3 linked regions of the Arabidopsis thaliana genome follow. The protein of the gene in region 3 interacts with the protein of the main gene of each other region in a pairwise test. Each region holds a gene or a part of one and is shown on either strand. Other genes may lie near its edges.

Evidence for each region. The genes of interacting proteins can lie anywhere in the genome.
Region 1: the proteins of AHA10 (region 3) and NHX8 interact in a protein complementation assay, tested with the Arabidopsis thaliana proteins (one large-scale study listed by BioGRID).
Region 2: the proteins of AHA10 (region 3) and YKT61 interact in a protein complementation assay, tested with the Arabidopsis thaliana proteins (one large-scale study listed by BioGRID).

Annotation. Positions count from the first base shown.
Region 1 is NC_003070.9:5,031,410-5,038,465, forward strand, and holds NHX8 (Na+/H+ exchanger 8), read right to left. Parts: upstream 5,202-7,056; 5' UTR 5,031-5,201; coding exon 4,811-5,030; intron 4,715-4,810; coding exon 4,664-4,714; intron 4,596-4,663; coding exon 4,504-4,595; intron 4,429-4,503; coding exon 4,351-4,428; intron 4,266-4,350; coding exon 4,108-4,265; intron 4,026-4,107; coding exon 3,924-4,025; intron 3,845-3,923; coding exon 3,727-3,844; intron 3,642-3,726; coding exon 3,589-3,641; intron 3,513-3,588; coding exon 3,447-3,512; intron 3,353-3,446; coding exon 3,308-3,352; intron 3,176-3,307; coding exon 3,123-3,175; intron 2,921-3,122; coding exon 2,736-2,920; intron 2,620-2,735; coding exon of another isoform or gene 2,600-2,619; coding exon 2,555-2,599; intron 2,467-2,554; coding exon 2,359-2,466; intron 2,046-2,358; coding exon 1,817-2,045; intron 1,727-1,816; coding exon 1,424-1,726; intron 1,284-1,423; coding exon 1,186-1,283; intron 1,102-1,185; coding exon 970-1,101; intron 889-969; coding exon 754-888; and 2 more. Other genes in the region: AT1G14670 (Endomembrane protein 70 protein family), read left to right, coding at 6,260-6,411, 6,691-6,731, 6,840-7,056. UniProt on the Arabidopsis thaliana protein: May act in low affinity electroneutral exchange of protons for cations such as Na(+) or K(+) across membranes. May also exchange Li(+) and Cs(+) with a lower affinity.
Region 2 is NC_003076.8:23,496,578-23,500,917, reverse strand, and holds YKT61 (SNARE-like superfamily protein), read right to left. Parts: upstream 2,780-4,340; 5' UTR 2,642-2,779; coding exon 2,449-2,641; intron 2,301-2,448; coding exon 2,227-2,300; intron 2,167-2,226; coding exon of another isoform or gene 2,159-2,166; coding exon 2,069-2,158; intron 1,980-2,068; coding exon 1,875-1,979; intron 1,659-1,874; coding exon 1,593-1,658; intron 1,382-1,592; coding exon 1,295-1,381; intron 858-1,294; exon of another isoform or gene 841-857; coding exon 790-840; 3' UTR 534-789; downstream 1-533. Other genes in the region: TIL (temperature-induced lipocalin), read left to right, coding at 1-136, 221-406; SVL4 (SHV3-like 4), read left to right, coding at 3,532-3,643, 3,780-4,076, 4,159-4,268. UniProt on the Arabidopsis thaliana protein: May be involved in the secretory pathway. Essential for membrane fusion mediated by either SYP41 or SYP61; triggers the fusion of phospholipid vesicles containing SYP41 or SYP61 and VTI12.
Region 3 is NC_003070.9:5,902,219-5,909,437, reverse strand, and holds AHA10 (autoinhibited H[+]-ATPase), read right to left. Parts: upstream 5,381-7,219; coding exon 5,315-5,380; intron 5,228-5,314; coding exon 5,108-5,227; intron 5,021-5,107; coding exon 4,922-5,020; intron 4,833-4,921; coding exon 4,695-4,832; intron 4,599-4,694; coding exon 4,464-4,598; intron 4,374-4,463; coding exon 4,194-4,373; intron 4,096-4,193; coding exon 3,889-4,095; intron 3,788-3,888; coding exon 3,668-3,787; intron 3,547-3,667; coding exon 3,427-3,546; intron 3,339-3,426; coding exon 3,216-3,338; intron 3,103-3,215; coding exon 2,998-3,102; intron 2,873-2,997; coding exon 2,728-2,872; intron 2,614-2,727; coding exon 2,452-2,613; intron 2,363-2,451; coding exon 2,124-2,362; intron 1,962-2,123; coding exon 1,929-1,961; intron 1,838-1,928; coding exon 1,756-1,837; intron 1,673-1,755; coding exon 1,512-1,672; intron 1,430-1,511; coding exon 1,256-1,429; intron 1,162-1,255; coding exon 979-1,161; intron 879-978; coding exon 724-878; and 3 more. Other genes in the region: RLP3 (receptor like protein 3), read left to right, coding at 5,999-7,219. UniProt on the Arabidopsis thaliana protein: The plasma membrane H(+) ATPase of plants and fungi generates a proton gradient that drives the active transport of nutrients by H(+)-symport. The resulting external acidification and/or internal alkinization may mediate growth responses.

The DNA of each region.
Region 1 (7,056 bases), 870 kb from region 3:
GTGACATAAGAAGATGAGGGAGATGATCGGAGACATGATTGTGTATTTTTACGAGAAGGGAAACAAAGACAAGAAAAGAAGACAACACTCATGACTCTTTTAAGAACTTGTCCTCTCTTTGGGACTAGACAAGCTTCTCTTTCACCCATTTCTCTCTCTCAGCCCGGTTTATGTCGGTTTGGTTTTAGTACTAGAGATGATGATGTGTCTCTGCAAGCTGGAACTGCCGACGTGAGAGTTTATAGTGAAGAAGAGTTGGGTGAGTTAAAAGAACCGCGTGAAAATTCTCAAGACGCGTTGGCTCGTTCTTATATTTTTGTTCCTATTGCAAATTCGTTTATAATTTGGGAATTTATATATTTCTGGGATCTAGATTTGTTTTGCATATAAGTGATTAATATAGGTTTAACTTTAAAGTGTACTGTCAGAGTTTGAAGTAGTCAAGACTTTTTCTTTCTTTGGTTCCAAGTTAACGCGTTTTTGGCTTAGAGAGCGACCATGATTTGTTTTTTCGTTGATGTTTTTTTCCCTTTACGGATTTAACCATTATCGTTCTTATTTTCCTTTTCAAAGCCAAAAAGGATTGATTGAAATGATTATACGAGTTCATGAATTCGATCCCTGTAATTATGAAACAAGTTAAAAACTATACGAATGGACTGTTTTTGGTCATAGATCGAACGAGCTCATGACTCGATCCTGGAACCAGATTCTACTCTAGTTGATTCTGACAAGGATACCTAAAGTCTCAGTTCATGCATCTGTTTCGCCAATGGCCAAACTCCTGAAGCTTGAGCGATCTTTCAATAAAGGATTGCTGGTGATCAGATCGTCTACATTTGGAAGTTTTAGTGAAGGAGGATGTCTCAGGAGCTTCTTCAAGTCAGACTGAAGAGGGAGAGTAGAGTGAGAGTGTTAAGCTCAATCATGTGGCTAAAACATGGATGGCAAAGAATCTACAAATTTTACCTGAACAACATCATGAAGATGAGAAACTTCTTTTCCCTCTAACAAGCCAACCTTCTCAAGGTTTTTAATATAACCATTTAGATGATTCAGCACATAATGTGTTACTTGTCTTGTTTTCAAAACACTCAAAACCTGACAAATATATTGGCCAATATCAGCCTATCAGTTAATCCTGACAATTTAATGGGTTTCAAAAAAAAGTATATGGTTCCAAACCTGAGGAAATGAATCACGGACATCTTCCAAGAACTGTTTTGCTTCTTCTCCTTCCACCTCACTTTCATTGATTACAGTAGAGGCAATGTTACTGTTACCTGTGTAAAGAAAAAAGCACATTCTCAGGTAAATGATGGACCAAAGGTTTTCATTCAAGTCTGTATTCGTGAGCTAATATGCAGAGTCTTAAACGAATTTAACATAGAGATATTATTTAACAGAACAGAGTGATGCATACCTAGAAAGATATGCAATTGCTGTCGCGCAATCCTATGGGCACGGAGAAATGCAGAAGAAATGTAACAAGCAGATTCCAGTCTTTCAACGATCAAATGCGTGACTAACTTGTGGGGGATAATTTTTGACTGAAGAAACTTGTAGTAATTTGGGAAATGAACACGCGGTTCTAAACCCCTCCAGTCGCTTAAAGAACTGGTAGAAACAAGGTCAAGTGCCTCATCTACTGATTGCATCAAAACATTAGCAGTACATTGTGTTATTCTCCCATCATCAAGCATCTCCCAGTAAGCTGCCTGGACACCTGATACAGGCAAGAGTCTCGAATCAATAGCTACTTTTGGAACGACACTAGTTTGACAATGAGAAGAATTTACTACGCATTGTGAAATACCATTTAAGAAGCGTATACGTATGTCCATTATATTCGTAGGGTCAAGACTTCCAGCTTCGTACCCATCGTGAGGATTAACTTGTCTCCCTTCTAAATCTTTCAAGCTTGAAATATGTCTTATAACTGTAGGCCAGTCAGCAGATCCAAGCTCCTCGTCATCTCCAAGATTTTCAAAAGCTTTTAAAGCAGTCTTCATCATTTCAAACTTTGTATACTCCAATATTCGTTTCTGTCAATAGAAAAAGAGGAGCATTATCATTATATTTCTGAAGCATTAGTTGCAAAGATTGTGCGTGTATATACATTAGAAGGATCGGTGACAGATTCTGAAGCAGGTTGATTCCCAATCTCTAACTACCTATTCTCGGTTTGTAAAACGCACAAACCTAAGCTAATATACCCACAACTGCAGAAGGATGCAGTCATTTGTGCATGTATAAAGACGGATGATCAGAGGTTCCATTATCTACCCATATATCCTGTCTTTGCTTTTTAGATTTGAAAAGTAGCAGCACAAGAGAATATAGGATTAACATACTGACCTTAGTGGCCGTTAAAGTGTCCATGCGAAGAAGGTGCAAGAGCAATTGGGTAGTGGATCCATTAACAACCAAAGTTAGGAAAACAATCCCACCTGTGAGGAATAGAAACTGCAAAACAGCTGAAACACATCAAGATAACAAAAAGAGCCTCCAGAAAGAAATTCAAAAGTAGTTCATACTGTGTTTCAGAACTCACCCTTGTTCCCGTATCTGAACTGAGATATGAATTTCCACTTGATTGCTGAATCATATGACCGAGAGCTATAGTATGTCAGAGAAAAGGAAATGGGAACATGAATATAAAAGATTTGAAAACAGATTTGAAATTAGTAGATATTGCTCTTGCATGAATGAAATGCCATTTCTTCAGAACTCACTTTTACAGATAGAGCGAGCGACAGCGAAACAGCACCCCTTAATCCAGACCACGTGAGTATGATGGATTCCTTCCAATCCAACCCATAGCCAGAACGGCATAGCAATGGGTACAAAACTCCAACAACAACACAGCGGGAAAGTTGGACATACAAGTATAAGAGGAAAAGGAAGCTCCACGAGTTTCCTGAAAAGAACGTTACGAGTAATGAATGGTCCTCTTAACCCCAATATATGTCAAAAAGAAAGCTACTGCGGTAATGGTATCAGGAATTAGCGATGTTATCCGTTAATCATGACGAATTCTAGGAGAAAACCTCCCTTTACATCTTCCAAGAACAAAATAAAAAAAAAATCCGGACGTAGAATAATAAATTGTGAAGAGACACCTTTGTAAGATATTGTCTGACCGCTAAGAACGCTTTCAGCGATAATAACTCCACTGCAATTCACAAGAGACACACATGCAATGATCTTGTATCAATCAGGTATCGGCTAAAACATCGTCTGCAGTATTTTGTTTGTAAAATAACCAGTAAATTTTTGTTTTCGAATCTTGCCAGACAGTTCGTACCTGAGCATAAAAACTAGTGTATTTGCAATGTAAGCGGCCATTTCCCTACAAAAGTTATAGGGCAATCATAAAAATATAATATATACATGTAAAGATTTCCTTTGATTTGACGAAAAAAGAACACTGAGTTGTGAAATACCAGAAGTGATGCAGACTCTGGTGACTGTCCCCCTTAAAAGCTGTCCTTGCAAATGCAGCGAAAAACCTATTACAATTATGTTATGAACAATGGCTTTTTGACACATAACAACAGAAAGAAGGGATAATTTACCACGACTTACATCCCCAAAATCATGACAGTCAAAATTCCAGAAACCCCAGCCCACTCTTGAGCCTGTACATAGTAGAAATTTCTTAGGTTTCCTAGAGATTTAAGATTCTCCATTGGGGACTAAGTTATGTAGAAGAGAAGAGCATACAGTGTAATAGGCGAAATAGCTCGCTGAAAGTGTTACAGTGATCTGAGCCACCGTGTCATTGAATATGAATTTAAGCCAAAAAACTGATGCAATTCCAAAAGCTAGACCAATGCCTACACTAAAAAACCAGAACAACATAAGCGGAGAAAAGAAGACAGCGACATACAATACTACTAACAAAGGAAAATAATCCATACGCTCCGAATGAGTTTTGGACAAGAAATTTGATTATGGAACCCCAATCAGAGTTATGCCCCATCACCATCTTGAAGAATAATTGAAAAACCACAACCGATACCCTGAATAATCCAAACAACTAAGCTTGATCATATATGACATAACATCACCTTGATGCTAAACATAAGAGTTTGACATGGTTACCCATCGTTCATGAGAGATTCCCCATCAATTAACGTGGTCATCTTCTTACTAGCACCAAGCTCCTTTAGCAAAGCAACAACAGCCACGGGGTCGGTAGCTCCTAAAAGTCCTCCAAGCAACAATGATGTTTTCCAGTCCCAGTTATATGGAAAAGTAAGCTACAAGAGCATAACTCGAAAAAATTGTTAAGTTAATTGAAGCTCACTTAATCACAGTCGAAAATGTTGAAGCTAGTTAAAGTACCTTTATAAGAGCTCCGAGACAAAAGGTGGAAATCAGAACTCCAGGTCCAGCAAGCAGAACCATTTGTCCCATACATCTCTACCAATGATGTAAAACAATCAATACCAGGAACCAACACAGCCAAGGAAGTAGCTCAATCAGGAAAGTAAAAACCTTGATCTGGTGCACATCCATGGAGAATGAGCTCTCGAAAAGAAGAACAGGGAGAAAAACAGCCAAAAGTAGGTCAGGGTTGATACCATTCCCTGTAAAGTTGCCATTTTTTAGAGCTCGTAATCTAACAGTATGGAGAAGAGAAAATACAGTAGCTTACAGATACGAATTCCATGGCCGAGCTTCCCAAGGTTATGCTTAGTTCCATATTCTACAGAAGCAAAAAAATCCAAAATTTAACTACTTTCTAAAATCTTCCACGAAATTGAAACTGAGCTATAAAGCTTAATGAGCAAACAAATAAGACCTAGGGATCCGAGAAAAATGCCGATGACGAGAAGAACGACGGTGTACGGAACTCTAGTGCCGTTAAACAAATATCTACAAGCGGTGCCGAGAACCAGCGAAGTTCCCGCGAAAATAACAGCATCAACAGGACTCGAATCGTTCTCAGCTGAATACGAAGAAGATGCAATTGCTTTCTCCGGTGATTTGTACGGCAACGCCGCGCCGATTATACTCGTCATCTCCGGTAGAAAGAAGCAAACGATCAATCTTTCGTTTTGCCAGTGATTACGGTCAAAGATGCTTTTACCGAACCGAATCTGCTTCGTTTAAGAGTGAACCAAGATTGAATCTAGTCTGGTTTGGCTTGACCTGTTTTATTTCGGTTACGTCTGGTTTTCTATCACTAATTTGAACGAAAATTTGAGAAATCTTAATACGTTTTTGATTAGGTTTCTGTTTTCTTTGCTAGATATGAATGTAGTTACTGGATTATACTACTCTGTTCAAATGAAGGGTACATATATTTACATGAACCAAATTATGAAATAACAAAACCGACTCACTCTAGTCTCTAAACTTAACTAGTGTCACTTTTGTTTGTTTGTTTTGATCCATACTTCAATGTATCTTGTTCAAATTGTTTGATTTTATTTTTGGTATAAGTGGCTACATTGTAATTTCTTGCTGATTCAATCTATAAATCGAAAACCTTAAATTATCCATGCCTCAAAACGATGCACGTTGTGTATAAATGAGAATTTTAAATTGTTTAGTTTCTATAATTGCTGTCATGACGTGAGATCATGCAAAGCAATTACGTACGATAACGCACGTAAAGGAAAAATGATTATCAGATTCATATATTTTTTTTTTCAAAAACTTGGTCTCGTGTAACATCATTCGTCATTCTTCATATTCACTATACTATAACCACAAAAGATATTAAAAAAATAGTCACTCCACTCCACATCTAATACAAAGAAGTAATAATTTAACTATTCAAAATTTATGAAGTGTTAATACGATAAGATTTTCGACCCAAGGAAAAAAAACACTATAAGATACATAGGTTTGGCAGAACAATTAGTTCGCTCACTGCCTACATATTCTTTTTTTGGTTTAATTAGCCTACATATGGGAAAATGATTTGTATTTTGTTAAATGCCACTCACATTTGTTATAAATAATTAGTCTTGGTTTCAAAAGCCATATATTTATGAATTTATAGACATTGATATTTATTTTTATGGTTGGAAATGGTATAAAGTATTATTGACTATAGTTTTTTTATGTATTTTTCTTATGAAATAAAGTGAGAAAATAATAAAAATATTAAAATTTGTGTAGCTGACTCGAGTTTGATTGAAGTCTTTGGTATATAAATATTGTCGTTATTTCCTCCATTTTTCTCCCTCTTCTCCCAAATAAAAAAAGTTACTCAGATCTCACGATTTGAGCAGAATACGCAATGAGGACACCGACGACGATTCTCCTTCTTGTCGGAGCTATCCTCTTCTCCGGCGCCGGCTATGTCAGATCCGACGCCTCCGACCACCGTTACAAGGAAGGAGACACCGTTCCTCTCTACGCCAACAAGGTCGGCCCATTTCACAATCCAAGGTAAACGGAAACATCTATTCTAGATCTGAGCTTCAGATCTGAGGTTGTTTCCCATTCTTAAGCCTGAGGATGATAAATTGATCGTTTATTGTTGAATCTGTTGCTATTGAATTGAGTAACGACATTGATAACTGAGTACACTGCAAAATGCGTAATGTTAAAACCAAAGAGTGAAAGAAGAAACTACATTTGGAATGTTTTTCGTTTATGTGATGGATCTGTCTTAGATTTGAATACTATTATATGACTGATTTTGGTTTTGTTCAATGATGATTGCAGTGAGACGTATCGATATTTTGATCTTCCCTTCTGTATCCCAGGTATGCTTATATCTTTACTAGCTTAATCACACGATTTGTGTTTAAGCCGCAACTGATTTGTGTGACATCTCCTGATTCGATCATCCCATTATTGAATATGGTTTATAGAGGGTGTGAAAGAGAAGAAGGAAGCTCTTGGCGAGGTTCTAAACGGGGATCGGCTAGTTAGCGCTCCATACAAGCTCAACTTCAGAGATGAAAAAGAGTCTGAGGTATACTGCAACAAGAAGTTGAGTAAAGAAGAGGTCAAACAGTTCAGAAAAGCTGTTGAGAAGGACTACTACTTCCAGATGTACTATGATGATCTACCTATCTGGGGATTCAT
Region 2 (4,340 bases), on a different chromosome or scaffold from region 3:
AGCCAAGCTCAAAGTCAAGTTCTATGTCCCTCCTTTCCTCCCAATCATTCCCGTCACCGGAGACTACTGGGTGCTCTACATCGATCCTGACTACCAGCACGCTCTCATTGGCCAGCCTTCCAGGAGTTATCTCTGGGTTGGTACTCTTTTTTTTTTCTCTTTAACGAATAATCGAAATTGATCCCAAAAATGATTGACTCTGTATATGTGGGTGGTGTAGATATTGAGCAGGACGGCGCAAATGGAGGAAGAGACGTATAAGCAGCTGGTGGAGAAGGCAGTGGAGGAAGGTTATGACATCAGCAAGCTTCACAAGACTCCTCAGAGTGACACACCACCTGAGTCCAACACTGCCCCTGAAGACTCCAAGGGCGTTTGGTGGTTCAAATCTCTCTTCGGCAAATAGATTACACGGCACACAAAGACTTTGTTTCACCTCTTTGATCCTTTTGTCTGTGTAATATACTACCCCCTTTGTCTACTCTAGTTATCTTCCATCATCTGCTTTTGTCTATTTACGACATCTTCATCTAGTTATGCAAAGTCGTCTCTTTTACCATAAGGAAGCGCACACAAATTCAATCAGATCAAATCTGGGAAAGACAATTCAAATCTTGCAGAAGTTGACATTATGTATTTGGATAAACACACCACACGACTCGAGACTTATGGAATCAAAATAATGCATGCAAACTACAGACGGAATTATATGTATAGATAAGACGATAGAAAAAACAGTCTCCCCCCAGCAAAAGTTTGGTTGACTATATACCCAGCAGGACTTCCAGCTCACAGAATAGTACAGCATGAATTTGTTTTCTTCGCTTGCTTGTAAAACATCTGTTCCAACCAATACAACCAAATCAGATTTTCATGTTGGAAGTAAACATGGTTTACCTAATCTAAATAACGAAGAATATCTTGAGATTCCAGAGGATATGACTAATACATATGTTCCTCCCCATGGTCAGATGATATAGCAAAAAACACTATGATTCTTCGTAGCAAACCTAATAATTCCAAAATCCAACTGTATAGTTCAAACTGCACTCAAATGTCTGCAGGCTGAAGCAGAAAGCTTTTTCAAAGAAGGTATTCTAAATCCACATTCTTCCTCTATTTATCTACCCCAACAATAACATGCAATAGTTCCTCTATCAATCAACAACACTTATAAGCCTGCTAAATCAACAACCCTTTCTAACGTGTTCACCAACTATGCTCAGAGATCGAGACAGGGAAAAAAGGAAACTAAATCTATAAGAATTTCTAGAATGTGACTTTAGAATGTTACCTGTGATGCCATGCTCAAATCTGAGCTCTTCTCCACTAGGCTGTCCAGCTTCTCACCACGGGCTAGAACACTATCAATGGTTTTATGCTACAATACAGAACAAAAAATCAGTCTTACGGAGACAGGGACATCCATCATAACTACCAAGACTTTCTTCTTGTTTTGGTGTTTTTCAGAAGAAAGTAAACTCACCGACAGAACAGCATTTATGTATAATTGGCAAGTATACTGAAACTTAGAAAAGGAAGTACCGCTTATGTATAAGGGTCTACAAGAAAGGACCGGAGACAGCACTTACAAGGATAATCTTTGTCTCATCCAACTCCCTCTGGATTTTCAACAGCTTATCAGCCTCTGCTGGGTCCTGAAGATTACAAATACGGGACAATCCCAAAATCAATTTAAGATCAAATCACTCAAAATCCAACATGGTCATAAAACAATGGGGGCTACTAAAATTAATTCATGAAGAATGAATCATTCGATTGGATTCTAATGTCCACCTAACTGAGCTTAATATAACTACAGTTTTAACAAAATTCACAGTAAAAGAGCGAATACAGTTGCACAAGTGAAGAACCTGAAATTTGTTTAAAGCTTCGGTTAAGTATGGCCAAGGCTGATTGGAGTCTTCTTTTGCAGACCTCCATGACTCACCAAAACTCTTCTGGTACTCATCTAGGACCTGAGACAAAATTAAATGTCAAGCAACCCAAATTACAGGAAAACTTACGAATGATGCATTGAGAACCACTTTCAACATAATGATATTACCTGATTGAGAAGAGAGAAAGCACTTCGAACAGGGTAATGATCGTCCATGAAACCCACCGCGCAAAGGCCATTTCTATTGTAAGCGTGAACCTTGTACTCTAAACCAAAAACAAAATAAAAACACGAACCCTAATTATCCCAAATTCGAGGACTAGAACAATAAGATAGAATCGCAAGAAATTAAAGCCGGGGCATAGTCCAGGAAGATCTAGAATCAGAAACGGTGCACATCCTAAATCATAAAAGTTTCAAAATCGAAAAGCCGATCCGAATTTAGAAATCGAATAAAAATCAAAGAGGAAAGGAGATTGCATTAGATCCGGGAGAAAGAAGATTTGAAAACAATCGATCTAGAGAGGTAGAAGAAGAAGGAGAAGAACCTTCGTGTTGAACAGACTGGCGTTGGGAAGGAGGGGTTCGGCTAGCGACAGTGCGACCGACAAAGACGACGAACTCCTTGACGCTAGATCGCTGGAAATAACCGAAGTGAGAGACGTCCGAAGCGTTGGAGAGGATGACGGGATCAGAAGCTTCGGGAGCGCACTTGAGAACGAGCAAGGCGGTGATCTTCATAGCTGCGGTGGATCCAAGGTTGCGTGAGAAGGAAGCGAGGAGGAGGAAGAGAAGAGGCTTTGGACCTGGATTCCTTACTCGGAGATGCTAAAGGCAAAACAAGTTTTGAGGTGTCGAACCAAACGCAGACGCCTTCTCATTAACATTGAATAATGAATATATACCCTCTTTTTCTTATTCGCTATGTTGAAGTAAAAATTAAAAACCTTTGGTTCAATTCAATTTTATGTGGGCAGTCTCGGTTCGGTTTAGCATATATTGATGCAGAATTGGACCGGAATCAAAGATTTTTCCATCACATAGAATTGGATTTTTAAGAATTTTAAGTCTAGGCAAAAACTGAAACCAAAGAATATTTTAATTTTTGCCAATCGAGTTTTCTTATTAACGGAATATTGGTTTGGTTTAGATCGGACAACTTGGTTTGGTCCGAATGCCAAACTCTAATATTGTCATTTTAACTACATACATGTATGACAAATGAATATAGTACAAAGTCCAAAACTGAGGGGTGTTACACCCATTTGTGCAAAGAAGATGTAAGAAAGCATCAAAAAAAGAAAAAGCGGTTAAGAAGGGAATGGTGGAGAAGAAGAGATAAAAATAGAAAGGAGTAAATGGCCATAAATGGAGGATATGAGAGCAAGTTACTTTTTTTTACCATTAATTAACCTTGTTTGACCCATCTCCTCTTTCTCTTCTTTTTCCTTTCCTCTAACTAAACGAGGAAAACAAGCAGGAGAGGGGATTCATGTTCTTTTCTCGCTGTAAGATCTCTCTTTCACAATTTTCTTAAATGTGACAATTCTGTTTTTGTTACATGTATCCTGACTTTGCTTTTCCATTGGGGTACGTACGTTACACACAAATGCAGGATCAATCAGATAGAGATGCTGAGGTTTTTCATTCTTTTCTCCCTTTTCTTACACTCTTCTGTTGCGGCACCCAAGACTCCTGCTGCTGCCGCAGCTGTTCCTGCCAAGAAATGGCTTACCCTTAACGGTAAGCATCCTTTTACAGAGTATGCCCATATTGCATACTACCATGTTTTTTTTTTTGTTGTTGTTTAATGTTAAGACTTAAGATACCATGTTGTTTGTTTGTTTCTAAGAATCCGTACCTGTCTTTTGTCTTCCAGGACAAGAGCCTGCCGTTGTGGCCAGAGGGGGCTTCTCGGGTCTTTTCCCTGAGTCAAGCATCTCTGCAAACGACTTGGCTATTGGCACCAGCTCGCCTGGCTTCACAATGTTGTGCAACCTTCAGATGACTAAGGACGGTGTGGGCCTTTGCTTGTCAGATATCAGACTTGACAATGCAACCACCATCTCCTCGGTCTTCCCCAAAGCCCAGAAGACCTACAAGGTCAACGGTCAGGACCTCAAGGGCTGGTTTGTCATTGATTACGATGCCGACACCATATTCAACAAAGTCACTCGTATGTCTTCTTCTCTTTCATTTCCTCCCTTCAATGCTCACCACCACCACCACACATTTTCATGTTTTGTATTATTGAGCAGTGGTCCAGAACATCTTCTCTCGGCCTAGCATCTTCGACGGCCAAATGTCGGTTTCTGCAGTGGAGGATGTCCTTGGAACCAAGCCTCCCAAGTTCTGGTTGAGCGTTCAGGTATGTTTTCTTCTCTTTGAGAACATGATTAACCAACATATGGAGCTTTTTTGTTGATTCATCAAAACAACA
Region 3 (7,219 bases):
TAAACACATTCGTTAATTTTCCTCTGTTTCCATGGTTCTTCTTCTTTACCTGTATTATAGTAGGTGGTTTAATGTCAAATTCGTTTGATTCTTTTCCGACGGTTTTGTGAATTTTGTCGGTGAAATATAGTTTATTTGCTTGAGAATTTTGTGTTCTATAAGAACAGCTTGATTGCTTTTGAAACAAGTAATTATAAACCAAGATTTATTCAACACGGAATGTGGACTAAATTAGTAATAATTGAAAACAAGAGAGTAAATATTCGATTACACAGGAAATAAAAGTGGTGATTTTTCAATTTAACCAAAGTGATGAACAATGATCACAGGTTCAGTGAAACACCGACATATATGGCCTACAATTGATCTCAGCAGAGCATATCAGGTGAAATTTCTGCTGTCACCGGAAAACAAGACTACATTACAGACTACAGATCATATGAATGCTCTAAATATTGTTTTTACTTCTCTGAGGAACACAACATTGTTCGATTCCTCTTTATGTAAATTTTGAGATAGGGAAAAACTAAGAGAGTGTTTTAGACAGTATGAGCTGCACGGATCATCCTTTGGTCAATTTGTTTGAGTTTGATCACAGATTCTAAATGCCTTGACACTGAATGAACCTCTAGAAGCCTACCAAATGAAAAACAATATAGTTATTTTGGTAGTATGTGAAAATGGAAGAGAATACCCAAAACGGGGTATAGATAAAAAGAGAACCTGGCGATTTCTGCACGCCTCCTGGTTTGTTCAGCGATCCAAGAAGCGCGAGAACGGCTTCCTCTGAGTTCTTCTGCGGAACGACTTCTCTGAGAGATGGTTACATTGGGCGATCCATCATCTTTCCCATAATCTTTCTTGTAAGTAAAAGCTGTCTGCAAGACAAACCAACGGTCTCATCTTCAAGAAAATGCATAGTTTAAGTGTGAGACTGACTAACAAGCAGAGGACAAGAGACACAGGACATGTACCAACCTTACGGTCCAATACGAGATTCCAAGCTTCTCCACTCAATGCGTAGTGAAAGACAAACTTTATAACATCTAGAGGTATGTAAAATATCAGACTGTATAACCATATAACACCTGCCCATCTCCATCCAATGCCGGTGATTTTAGCAAAGCTGATGTTGGCATACACAGCAATTAATGTAGCCGCCTGTGTACATGAAATGGACAAGTCAATATCACGACCTATGTGTGCTATATAGCATTCTGTGATGGAAAAAATGCGAAGTATGGGGAATTCGTACAAGTTGAGCAAGAATGAAGGCAAAAATCAGGAGAGTCCCGGGACGTTCAAAAAATGACCAGCCTCGACTACGTGTTACAAATATGAGTGCCTGACTGATGATGCTCACTTGGAGATACATCGCGGATGACACTTGTTCACTGTTGTTGGCAATTGATTTTACATGGAAGTGTTTCTGCAGCCATTAAAGATTGGTCACCGGTATGCATTCTTCTCGGTAAGCAAAATCTAACTTACTTTGAGTGATAGGAAGATACCTCGAAGAAGGTGGTAGAAACAATGATCCAGTAAAACAGGACGGTGACCAATGCTAGATATGTTCCAATGACAATTCCTGTCGCAAATATCTGGTTGAGCTTCCAACTCTCGGGTGTAGGAGATGGCCTAACTCGATCTTTAGAAATAGTCATGATAGTCCCTGATGCGTAGGAGATAAACATAGCGTTTGAAAGTGATAAAAATTAGGTTACATCAATATGAAGCTATTGATTAAGAGATTACCGTCATTGAGTATTGCGATTATCAGAACCATGAAAGGTGGGAAGTCGTATTCCCATATCAACGCTAAAAGTGTAAAACCAAGCTGCATGAAACAATGTCAAGAAGAGAAAGTTCAAGTAAGTTGATGTAACTTAACTAACATGAGTTAGATCATGTATCATGAAGCTCCTTACCACTATGCGTATGGTGATAGAGACTGCATATACCTGCAGATTCGTACTGATTAGTCGGTAATTCAGAGAAAAACATAAGCTAGTTGAGAATGTCATCAGGCTACTTGAAATCCATATCCTATATTATATGATTTTTCATTTCTTTAGCTATCAGGGATCAGATGATAGTAGTATAACTATAACTTTAGTACTTACTGTATAGTTCCTCATCCGCTGGAAAATGGCTCTGCTGGTCAAGACAGCACTGATAATTACACTTAAGCCGGGATCAGTTAGTACTATGTCAGCAGAACTTCTTGCAGCATCTGTTGCATCTGCGACAGCTATTCCGATGTCAGCTTTTTTGAGAGCAGGAGCATCATTCACACCATCTCCGGTCATTCCAACCACATGCTTCATTTCTTGTAAAATCTTTACAATCTCATACTTATGTTCTGTAACATGAGAGACAAAAAAAATTTGGGATTAGAAATGAGAGCAAATCTTAAATTTCGTAGGTACTAAGGTTGTGTTAGAATATGACCAGGGAAAACTCCAGCAAATCCATCTGCCATTTCAATTAGCTCATCCACTGGAATGGCTTCATGCTCATCATTGTTGTGGCCTAACAAAGAGGAAGAAGGATACATGTTGGTTCCCATTCCAAGACGTCTGCCTGTCTCCTTTGCAATCGCCAATTGATCACCTACATGTGGTTCCAAACTTATCATTCATTTTCCCAGAGTTTTACCGTTTACTCACAAGGGTATATGTGTTTCTCTGTCGGGCCAAGCCTACCAAGCTAAAGGTTAAGATTTACCAGTGATCATCTTAACGCAAACTCCCAGGCTAAGAGCTCTAAGGATGGTTTCACCGCTATCATGCCTTGGGGGATCAAACAGTGGCAACAGACCACAGAACCTCCATGGTCCTCCAGGACTGTTGTTGCTTTTCTCTGGAATTTCCTAGAAACAATTATTTAAATGATGCAATGAATTGGAGTAATTAATGTCATCATAACGTTCTTCTTCAAAAGTACACTTATGATAAAACCAGCTCAAGAGAGAAAGGGAGAGGACAATGATGTTACCTGATAAGCAACCGCAAGAGACCTCAAACCTTTTTCTGCAAATCTATCAATGATGGCATAAACTCTTTGCGCAATCTCATTTTTCTGCTGACACAAGTTTAGAACCTATAATATAGTGCAGTTGTATTAGTGATGGTATTTCTTTCATGGAAACAGTACAAAAAAATTCACTAAATTTTTACAACTAGAGTCAGTTTGGTAGTGCTAAGAATACATACCTGTTCAGGAGCACCTTTGGTAGCACGATACCATTTTCCATCGGAATCAATATACGTTATTGCAGTACGTTTGTCCACAGGATTGAATGGTAAGAAATGGATTTCTCTAATGTTTGCACGTGCCTACAGATAAACAACCTTTGTATGAGAAAAACTTCTAAGAAGGTGATAGTCTTATAAAAGAGAGTTCATGTTAGAGAAACATCTCTACCTCTCTGGGATCTGCAAGCATGCTAACAATGGCTGCATCTATAGCATCCTGATTTTCTAGTCGTGAAGCTCGGCCTGCAAGCAACAAAATTGTATCCTTGTCCATGTAGTCAACGAATACCTGTGCAGAAGGATTTGTACATTTAAACACCAACAATAGAGAACAAGACGATGAAGAAGGAGGCAACTGTTCTTAACAGTATTGTTTGATGAAATTCAAGTCGCATCTGTAGTATTGGTACCTCAATAAGATTTTTATCAACGGTAAGACTGTTCAAAGTAAGGGTTCCAGTTTTATCACAGCAGAGTACATCCATCCCAGCCATTTCCTCTATTGCGGTCATTCTTTTCGTAATGGCACCCTTAGAGAACATGAAGAAACAGATTATTGCTAACAAACTGTTTTAAAGAATAACAAACAAAGGACTTCCTTTTGCATTCAGCAGCTTAAAGTGGGATGTACCTGTTGTGAAAGTCGATGAGATCCAATGGCAAGCGTTACAGATAGTACAGTGGGCATGGCAATGGGTATCCCTCCAATCAGTAGTACAAGAAGATTATTGATCCCAATTCTGTAAGAGCGATGTTGTACAGGGAACATGATAATGATTTCAAGAACCATTCCAACAGCAATGGAGCAAATGCAGAAGTTTCCAATCGATGTAAGAACCTAGAAGAAAACATGTCAAAGACTACATTCGGTTTTTCCAGATTCCAAGTTCACTAATCAGGTTCTATCCAACCAAAAGGGAAAGAAAGAAGGAAAACCTGCTGAAAATGTCCAGTTACATCTGTACTGTCCACCAAGCGTGCTGTTTTTCCAAAGAAGGTGGTCGATCCAGTTGCTATCACAACAGCTTCTATTTCACCTTGTTTACAAGTAGAGCCAGAAAAGACCTGTTCACCCTTCTTCTTGGTCACAGGTAGTGATTCTCCGGTCAGCACTGACTGCAGGAATAAATGTTTTAACTATTCTGTCAGAGAAAGTCTTTACATAGTACACACTAAAAGAATAGAGACTAGATATTCTGGACGTACCTGATCAATCTTCAAGGGGTCTCCTTCAAGAAGGCGAGCATCTGCAGGAATGATATCCCCAAGCTTAATGCTAATTATATCACCAGGTACCAAGATAGAAGCATCTTGTTCTTGCCACTGTCCATCTCTAAGAACCTATAAGAGTGGATCTAAATCAAATTTAAGGTAATATAGAAATTAAAGTGCAGCTAACTTTGCCGTTTCGGCTCATAGGAAGGTTAAGAGCCATACTCTTGTTTTTAAAGCCAAGCGAGCCATAAGAGCTGCAGCAGCATTCCCAGCATTGTTTTCTTCAAAGAAGCTGATTGTTGCGTTGATCAGCAAAAGGCAAACGATTCCAGTAAAGTCTTCCCAGTCAGGACCTAGACTCTGTAATACCATTTTCACCATGAGTTTCAAGGTGCTTTTTCATAAACACTCATGGATGGAAAATGGTAGCAAAACTGTGGTTGTCTTACTTGACTATTAGCGAGGGCAATGGCCATCAATGCAGCAGCTTCCATAACCCATGACAAGGGATTCCACATAAAACCTAAGAATTTCACAAATCTGTTCTCCTGTATCATTGTTGTTTTAAATGGCGGTTAGCACAAGATAATAGAGACAATTGGCAGGAACACTAAGAAGAATGTCATGTTTATTACCTGTTTCTCTTCAAGTCTGTTAGGACCAAATATCTTCAATCTCTCTTCAGCATCTCCAGATAAAAGCCCTTGAGGCGATGTTCTTAGGTATTCAAAAACCTCCTCCAACGGCAATATACCCTGTCAAGCTCAAGAAGGGTCAAAACCCTTTTTTGCCACTAAGAATTCAAGTACTAATAAGAGTATACAGTTAAAAGGAACATTTACCAAATCAATTCCTTTTCTGTTGAAAGTATCAGGATCCAGCAATGGCTTGTCCAAATCCTCGGCCATACTTAAAAGCTTCAAAATGTATTACCAGGATCCGATACTAATTTCGTCGTTAAGAATATACCAGGAACAGAAGAGAAACAGGAATCCTTAAAAAGAATCCAGGAATATTGAAACTGAAACGACCATTCCATGGCTGACCAGTTGATAGAGTGTGGAGAAGAGGAGATTCTCCTGCAAGTCTCAATTGGTATCACCATTATTGGAAGCATAAGAGAGTTTGCGAACAGTAGATGTGAAAGACGACGAAAAAAGCAGAGAGAGAGAGAAAGAAGAGTGGTTAAAGATCTCACTTCTCTACCTAACGGTCACTCTCACTAGCTTCCTCTTTTTAACTTAACTTAACAACCACTGTTACGTCAACTGTTCTCATAGGACTTGGTCTCCTCTCATGTTACGTAGAAAATGAAATTGAGAAAGGATTAACGATGGACCAATGGTATGAGAAAATTGATCACAGGAATAATGAAAGCGTCAGGACAAAGAAACAGATAAAAAAAATATTAAAGATGTACGACAAGTCTAATTTTGTTATGTCTGGGCTATTCCCCCTTAGTCAACACTGGCCAACAAGTTTTTTCATCTTCTTTGTCTGTTTCTCGTCTTGTTCTTGTTCTCACCATGACTAATGAGGGGAGATTCAAAGCCAAAGGTTTTGTGAGAACTTCATCAACCACAAGACCAATACAAGCTCTGAGTTTTCACATGATTGGCATACTCCTTCAGTGTGTTCTTTTCATCAGTGTCCTTTCTATTGCAGTTTCAGAGGCTCTCTGCAACTCGCAAGATCGAGAATCCCTACTGTGGTTCTCTGGAAACGTTTCTTCTTCTGTTTCTCCTCTGAATTGGAACCCATCCATTGATTGTTGCTCATGGGAAGGAATAACCTGCGATGATTCCCCGGATAGCCACATCACTGCAATCTCATTGCCCTTTAGAGCACTATATGGTAAACTCCCTTTGTCTGTTCTGCGTCTCCACCATCTCTCTCAACTCAATCTTTCTCATAACCGTCTCTCCGGTCATCTCCCATCTGGCTTTCTCTCAGCCCTTGATCAGCTCAAAGTTCTTGATCTTAGTTACAACAGCCTCGATGGTGAGTTGCCAGTTGAACAAACATTTAGAAATGGAAGCAACAGATGTTTCCCAATTCGGATAGTTGATCTGTCAAGCAATTTTCTCCAAGGCGAAATCCTCCCTAGTTCTATTTTTATGCAAGGAACTTTCGATTTAATCAGTTTCAATGTCAGCAAGAACAGCTTCACAGGCTCAATCCCTTCGTTTATGTGCAAGAGTTCACCGCAGCTCAGCAAACTGGATTTCTCCTACAATGATTTTACCGGTAATATTCCGCAAGGACTAGGGAGATGTTTGAAGCTAAGTGTTCTACAAGCAGGCTTCAACAATATCTCTGGTGAAATCCCAAGTGACATATACAATCTTTCGGAGCTCGAGCAACTCTTTCTACCCGTCAATCATCTTTCTGGAAAGATCAATGATGACATCACCCACCTCACAAAACTAAAATCGCTCGAGCTGTACTCCAATCACCTTGGAGGAGAAATACCAATGGACATAGGTCAGCTCTCTCGCCTGCAAAGCCTCCAACTCCATATCAATAACATCACTGGTACAGTCCCGCCTTCTCTTGCAAATTGTACTAATCTCGTCAAGTTGAATCTGAGGCTTAATCGGCTGGAAGGAACCTTATCAGAGCTTGACTTTTCCCGCTTTCAGAGCCTTAGCATTCTAGATCTCGGAAACAATAGCTTCAGCGGTGATTTCCCTTGGAGGGTTCACTCCTGCAAATCTCTATCAGCGATGAGATTTGCAAGCAATAAG